2 linked regions of the Arabidopsis thaliana genome follow. The protein of the gene in region 2 interacts with the protein of the main gene of each other region in a pairwise test. Each region holds a gene or a part of one and is shown on either strand. Other genes may lie near its edges.

Region 1 (3,754 bases), 8.4 Mb from region 2:
CAACGAAGACGCAGATCGAGAAACAGTAGGGGAATTGGCGAGAGGAGATGACGAAGAGAAGGAACGAGTGAACAGTGAGGAAAAGGATTTAGCTGGCCGGTGAAGGATGGAACGAGAAATCGCCATTGGAAGATGATAAAAATGGAGAGGTTTTAGTGAAAATGGAAAAACCCCAAGCATAAATGGGTTTAGATGGATCTTTCAAATTTCAAGGATATTATGTAAAACTAAAAATTGTAGTACATATCATTACTATTTTACATTATTTTCAAAATCGTCCCATTGTTATTTCAATTGACATGAGAAACCCATTTGTCACGAAATCATCATAAACAACCATATGTTGAATTCTTCTCTTTCGTCGAGGTTAGTAGAGAACATATCTGGTTGCTCAGTGGGAGTGACATTAAAAACGTCGTCTATGTATTGTAGATTAGGTATTTCAATGATACCTAGTTGAGGATCTCTCAAATAGCTTATAATCTTTGGTAGGACAAGATCCTCCATATTCGTATGCAAATGGACATTGGCAAAGTTATGTGGTAGCTCATATTCCCGTTCTGCTAAGGCCATCTTTTTGTGCTCTTCAGAGCAATACCGAGATTCAGGTGCGTAGACACATGTACAAGACCAGTACGCGAAGGCCTTATCTTTATGCACATAATGCATAACACGAAGATTGGCAACACCCATTGCAGAAACCTGCTAATACACATTGTTAGGTCTAGAGAAAAAAACTCTCTCTCGCAACTTTGAAGATTTTGTTTGCTCTTTGGATTGTCGAGATTGTTTCATTTCGTGTTTTTATATTATTTTTTACTTTTAGTTTTGGATTTGAATCTTAGGTTTAAAAAAGAAAAAGAAAAATTGTGATCAAAACGACATGGTTTGATTGAAGATGATGCTAATTCATTAAACATGGGTCATTTGAGTCGACGTATGTTAGTATTAACTAACATTTGTTATTGCAGATCCTAAAATACGTGCGACCTATAAAGTTTGGATATAATTTTTTTTTTTTTATGAATTTGGGTAAAGAATTAACATTGTACAGTATGTTTTATATAAGAAAACAATACTTTGCAAATTGTACTGGTATAAAAATATCGTTTTTCCAGTCACCCGCTTACGTTTGGTCCAAGTTGTTTTTAATTTTATACCGAATTAAAGTTTATTAGTCACAACTTTAAGTGTTTTTTCCAAACCCAAATCAAAATTCGATTTTTTTCGTCACAACTTTGAATCAGCCCCTTCACCTTTGCAGCCACATCTAACCGAATGCCCACCTAGACAACATCTTATAATGCGTCTTTTTATTATTATTATCCAAAAATAATTAAATTAGTGAGGTTTCTTACGTGATTATTCCTTGTTAATTAAACATCTGAATTTCCGTAAGCGAGTTCGAAACACGTAATTAAATATTGTAGGTAATATATAACAACCAAACTGGGTTTCCTCTCTTTCTTTGTTAGAAAAAACTAATAAATTAGATAAAACAAGTTCACCAACAAGGCAAACATTTCACGGTCAATTTTTCAGCTCACCCGAATTTGAGAATCTCTAGACGAAACCAAATCTCTTTCTAACTAATTCTTTTTTTGCTTTTCTTGTACCTCTTCACAATTTCAAAACCCAATTAAAAAAAAAAAAAAAAAAGAACCAACTACATATCTTAATTTCTTAGATATTTTTTTTGGTCAACCAATTTCATTAGAAATTAAAAAATACAAGAAAAACAACAAATGTTTAATTTCATATAAATTTATCTAACTGTATCAATATTATTTACGAACAAATTCTTTATTAAGAAAAACAAATTAAGCATTTTAAGCTTGGAATCATAAATATCTTTGGTTTAATTTAGTCATAGTCAAGTGCTTTTCGGTTTTCATGGAAGGCAATAAGAGAAAGCTAATAAAGTCTTGAAGCTTTTGAATGTTTGAATAATAAAGGAGAGGTTCCTTAAAGTTTGGTGTGTTAGTTCATCTTCTCTACCATTTATTCTTCACTTAATCTCACACTCTTTGCTCAATTTGTTGATTTCTCTATCTCTCAAAGTTTGATGCTTTCTTTTTCCTTCTTTCTTTCTTAGATGGAATTGCCGGTAAAAGCTCCTATTCCCGGTGGCCGGGAAATCTCATATAGATTAGAAACCAAGAATCTGTCGTATAGAATAGGCGGAAACACTCCAAAGTTTTCTAATTTATGTGGTTTGTTGAGTGAGAAGGAGGAAAAGGTTATCTTAAAGGATGTTTCTTGTGATGCAAGATCCGCGGAGATCACTGCGATCGCGGGTCCAAGCGGAGCAGGGAAAACCACGTTGCTGGAGATTCTAGCCGGAAAAGTTTCTCATGGGAAAGTTTCAGGGCAAGTGCTTGTCAACGGTAGGCCTATGGATGGTCCTGAGTACAGGAGGGTTTCAGGGTTTGTGCCACAAGAAGATGCTCTGTTTCCGTTTCTTACGGTGCAAGAAACACTGACGTACAGCGCACTCTTGAGGCTGAAGACAAAGAGGAAAGACGCGGCTGCAAAGGTGAAGAGGCTGATTCAAGAGCTTGGTCTAGAACATGTTGCGGATTCAAGGATCGGTCAAGGATCAAGATCTGGAATCTCTGGAGGAGAGAGAAGAAGGGTTTCTATTGGAGTTGAACTTGTTCATGATCCAAATGTTATATTGATCGATGAGCCAACCTCTGGTTTGGATTCTGCGTCCGCTCTTCAAGTTGTGACGCTTCTCAAAGATATGACGATTAAACAAGGTAAAACCATTGTTCTGACGATTCACCAGCCTGGTTTTCGCATACTCGAGCAGATAGACCGGATAGTGTTGCTCTCTAACGGGATGGTTGTTCAAAACGGATCAGTTTATAGCCTTCATCAGAAGATTAAGTTCTCCGGTCACCAGATTCCTAGGCGGGTAAATGTCTTGGAGTATGCAATTGATATTGCAGGGAGTCTTGAACCGATCAGAACCCAGAGTTGCAGAGAAATCTCATGTTATGGTCATAGCAAAACATGGAAGAGTTGCTATATTAGTGCAGGAGGAGAGCTTCATCAATCTGATTCTCACAGCAACTCAGTGTTAGAGGAAGTGCAGATACTCGGGCAAAGATCTTGCAAGAACATCTTCAGAACCAAGCAATTGTTCACAACCAGAGCCTTACAAGCTTCCATTGCCGGTCTTATACTGGGGTCGATTTACTTGAACGTAGGAAATCAAAAGAAAGAAGCGAAAGTCTTGCGAACCGGGTTCTTCGCCTTTATCCTCACTTTCCTGCTATCTTCCACAACAGAGGGACTTCCAATTTTCTTGCAAGACAGGAGAATCCTAATGAGAGAGACATCGAGAAGGGCTTACAGAGTTTTGTCTTACGTTTTAGCAGATACTCTCATATTCATTCCCTTCTTGTTGATCATAAGCATGCTCTTTGCTACGCCGGTTTATTGGCTGGTCGGTCTCAGAAGAGAGCTAGACGGCTTCCTCTACTTCTCATTGGTGATATGGATTGTTCTTCTGATGTCAAACTCTTTTGTCGCATGTTTCAGTGCTCTTGTCCCAAACTTCATAATGGGGACATCAGTAATCTCAGGTCTCATGGGATCTTTCTTCCTCTTCTCCGGGTATTTCATTGCAAAGGACAGGATCCCCGTTTACTGGGAGTTCATGCATTATCTCAGCCTCTTCAAGTATCCATTCGAATGCCTGATGATCAACGAGTATCGAGGAGACGTGTTCTTAAAACAACAAGAC
Region 2 (3,754 bases):
AGAAGCGGAGAATCATCACTGTGAACCCCTCCGCGTCTATTGAGATGAGTCAGTACGAGAATAATGAAGTTCCTTACTCAAGTGTCGGTGCTGATGAGGTTCCATCATCACCGCCTAAAGCTACCGATAAGATTCGGAAAGTTTCCATGTTGCCACTTGTTTTCCTCATATTCTATGAAGTCTCAGGAGGTCCTTTTGGTGTAGAGGATAGTGTGAATGCAGCAGGACCATTATTAGCTCTTCTAGGGTTTGTGATCTTTCCTTTCATTTGGAGTATCCCTGAGGCTTTGATTACTGCGGAGATGGGAACAATGTATCCCGAGAATGGTGGTTATGTTGTGTGGGTTTCCTCTGCTTTGGGACCTTTTTGGGGGTTTCAGCAAGGTTGGATGAAATGGCTTAGTGGTGTTATTGATAACGCTTTGTATCCTGTTCTGTTTCTTGACTATTTGAAGTCTGGAGTCCCGGCTTTAGGTAGCGGTTTACCGAGAGTTGCATCGATCTTGGTGCTGACTATTTTGTTGACGTATCTGAACTACAGGGGACTAACTATAGTTGGTTGGGTTGCTGTGCTTATGGGAGTTTTCTCCATCCTTCCGTTTGCTGTGATGGGTTTGATTTCGATTCCGCAGCTAGAGCCTTCGAGATGGCTTGTGATGGACTTAGGGAATGTGAACTGGAATTTGTATCTTAACACGCTTTTCTGGAATCTAAACTATTGGGACTCGATTAGTACACTAGCTGGTGAAGTTGAAAACCCCAACCATACACTTCCAAAGGCTTTGTTTTATGGTGTGATCTTAGTTGCTTGTTCTTACATCTTCCCTCTTTTGGCTGGAATCGGGGCAATCCCGCTAGAGCGTGAGAAATGGACAGATGGGTATTTTTCTGATGTGGCCAAAGCTCTTGGTGGAGCGTGGTTGAGATGGTGGGTTCAAGCGGCTGCAGCTACATCAAACATGGGAATGTTTATAGCCGAGATGAGTAGTGACTCTTTTCAGCTTCTCGGAATGGCTGAGCGCGGTATGCTTCCCGAGTTCTTTGCCAAAAGGTCACGTTACGGGACACCTTTACTAGGGATTCTGTTTTCAGCGTCAGGTGTTGTTCTCTTGTCTTGGCTAAGCTTTCAAGAGATTGTAGCTGCAGAGAACTTACTCTACTGCGTTGGTATGATCTTAGAGTTTATAGCGTTTGTTAGAATGAGAATGAAACACCCTGCTGCATCAAGACCGTACAAGATACCTATTGGAACCACAGGTTCGATCCTCATGTGTATTCCTCCAACCATACTGATCTGTGCTGTTGTAGCACTCTCGTCTCTTAAAGTAGCTGCAGTGAGCATTGTGATGATGATCATTGGTTTCCTGATACATCCTTTACTGAACCATATGGATCGAAAGAGATGGGTCAAATTCTCCATCAGTTCTGACTTACCGGACCTTCAACAGCAGACTCGGGAATACGAAGAAACTCTAATACGTTAAGAATGTCCTTAGTTATTTCCCTCGTCTATGTTAAGTACAGAGCTTGGAAGCTATAGCCAAAAAAGCTTAATTTCTCATAGTCTGTACTCTGTTTTATTCACAGCTTGTTCTAAAGTTGTAGTTTTTTCGTAAAGTTAGGTCATCGTTAGCACGGTTCCAATAAAATGTGCAATGTTTGTATCTCTGTTATGTTTTTGTCGTTGCCATTGTCGATTTGAAACATGGCTTTGGAAATTTGAAGTCTTTGAACAAAACCTTCGATCAAAGTCTGGTCAACAGTTGCAAAGCTTGGATCTTTGGATAAGTTTTCATCACCAATGATTGGAAAGAGAGAAAAAACCCTCACAAAACCCCAAAAAGCAGTATCAGTGTTTGACACGCAAACAAAATCGCTATAGTCTCAATTGATCGGAGGTTCTATCACCATCGTCTCCATCTGCATAATTTATTAAATATTTAGGACTTGTCATTGATATGGACACTCTCAAAACAGAGAACCACAATTTCTTCAATCCTTTCCAGGATATGACAAGTACAACGATATGGGTGAGTTTTGTTTTCTTCTTAAAGCATCGCTCAATCTTCAGACAACCCTAGATTCTCTCACGGTTTGTACTTCTTTACCTCTCGTAAATGTTTAGACTTTCGTATAAGGATCCAAGAATTTATCTGATTGTTTTTTTTTCTTTGTTTCTTTGTGTTGATTCAGAAGGGAAGTATCATTAGTTCATTACCATGGGAGACTATAACATGAATGAATTTGCTTATGGTAATCTTTACGATGATGATGATGGCGATGTTGGTGGATCGTCTAAAGAAGGAAACAATTCGATTCAGAAAGTTTCAATGTTACCACTCGTTTTCCTCATATTCTACGAAGTCTCAGGAGGTCCTTTCGGTGCTGAAGGTAGTGTGAATGCAGCAGGACCATTGTTAGCTCTTTTAGGGTTTGTGATCTTCCCTTTCATTTGGTGTATCCCTGAGGCACTAATCACTGCGGAGATGAGTACAATGTTTCCAATAAACGGCGGTTTTGTTGTTTGGGTCTCCTCTGCTTTGGGAACCTTTTGGGGGTTTCAAGTAGGTTGGATGAAATGGCTTTGCGGTGTTATTGATAACGCTTTGTATCCTGTTCTTTTCCTCGATTATTTGAAGTCCGCGGTCCCGGCTTTAGCTACTGGTTTGCCAAGAGTTGCATCGATCTTGATCTTGACTCTATTGCTTACTTACTTAAACTATAGAGGACTAACCATTGTTGGTTGGACCGCTGTGTTTATGGGAGTTTTCTCTATGCTTCCGTTTGCTGTAATGAGTCTGGTTTCTATTCCGCAGCTCGAGCCTTCGAGATGGCTTGTGATGGATTTAGGAAATGTCAACTGGAACTTGTATCTCAACACGCTTTTATGGAATCTGAACTACTGGGATTCGGTTAGTACACTGGCCGGTGAAGTGGCAAATCCGAAGAAAACACTTCCTAAGGCTTTGTGTTACGGTGTTATCTTTGTCGCTCTTTCGAACTTCCTCCCTCTTTTGTCTGGAACCGGGGCTATACCGTTGGATCGTGAGTTATGGACAGATGGATATCTAGCTGAGGTTGCTAAAGCCATCGGTGGAGGATGGTTACAATTGTGGGTTCAAGCGGCTGCAGCTACATCAAACATGGGAATGTTTTTAGCCGAAATGAGTAGTGATTCCTTTCAGCTACTTGGAATGGCTGAACTCGGTATACTTCCCGAGATCTTTGCGCAAAGATCTCGCTACGGGACACCTTTACTAGGGATTCTGTTTTCAGCCTCAGGTGTTTTACTCTTGTCAGGATTAAGCTTTCAAGAGATTATAGCTGCAGAGAATTTGCTTTACTGTGGTGGAATGATTTTGGAGTTTATAGCATTTGTTAGACTGAGGAAGAAACATCCGGCTGCATCGAGACCGTATAAGATACCTGTTGGAACCGTTGGTTCGATTCTGATATGTGTCCCTCCGATTGTACTGATATGTTTGGTTATTGTTCTATCTACTATTAAAGTGGCTCTTGTGAGCTTTGTGATGGTGGTCATTGGTTTCTTGATGAAACCTTGTTTAAATCATATGGATGGAAAGAAATGGGTCAAATTCTCAGTCTGTTCTGATTTGGCAGAGTTTCAGAAGGAGAATTTGGATTGTGAAGAGTCTTTGTTACGTTAGGGATACAAAGGTAAAAAAGCTTGGAACCTATAGTCAAACTCAAACAAACTGTATATCTTTCTGCTCGTTTTTTACTTTTTGTTCAA

Evidence for each region. Proteins that work in one complex are often made in the same cells at the same time.
Region 1: the proteins of PUT1 (region 2) and ABCG10 interact in a protein complementation assay, tested with the Arabidopsis thaliana proteins (one large-scale study listed by BioGRID).

The regions. Positions count from the first base shown.
Region 1 is NC_003070.9:19,860,783-19,864,536, forward strand, and holds the start of ABCG10 (ABC-2 type transporter family protein), read left to right. Parts: upstream 1-2,038; 5' UTR 2,039-2,095; coding exon 2,096-3,754. Other genes in the region: AT1G53265 (uncharacterized protein), read right to left, coding at 316-693.
Region 2 is NC_003070.9:11,416,605-11,420,358, reverse strand, and holds the start of PUT1 (Amino acid permease family protein), read left to right. Parts: upstream 1-1,894; 5' UTR 1,895-2,092; intron 2,093-2,193; 5' UTR 2,194-2,219; coding exon 2,220-3,668; 3' UTR 3,669-3,754. Other genes in the region: PUT2 (Amino acid permease family protein), read left to right, coding at 1-1,484.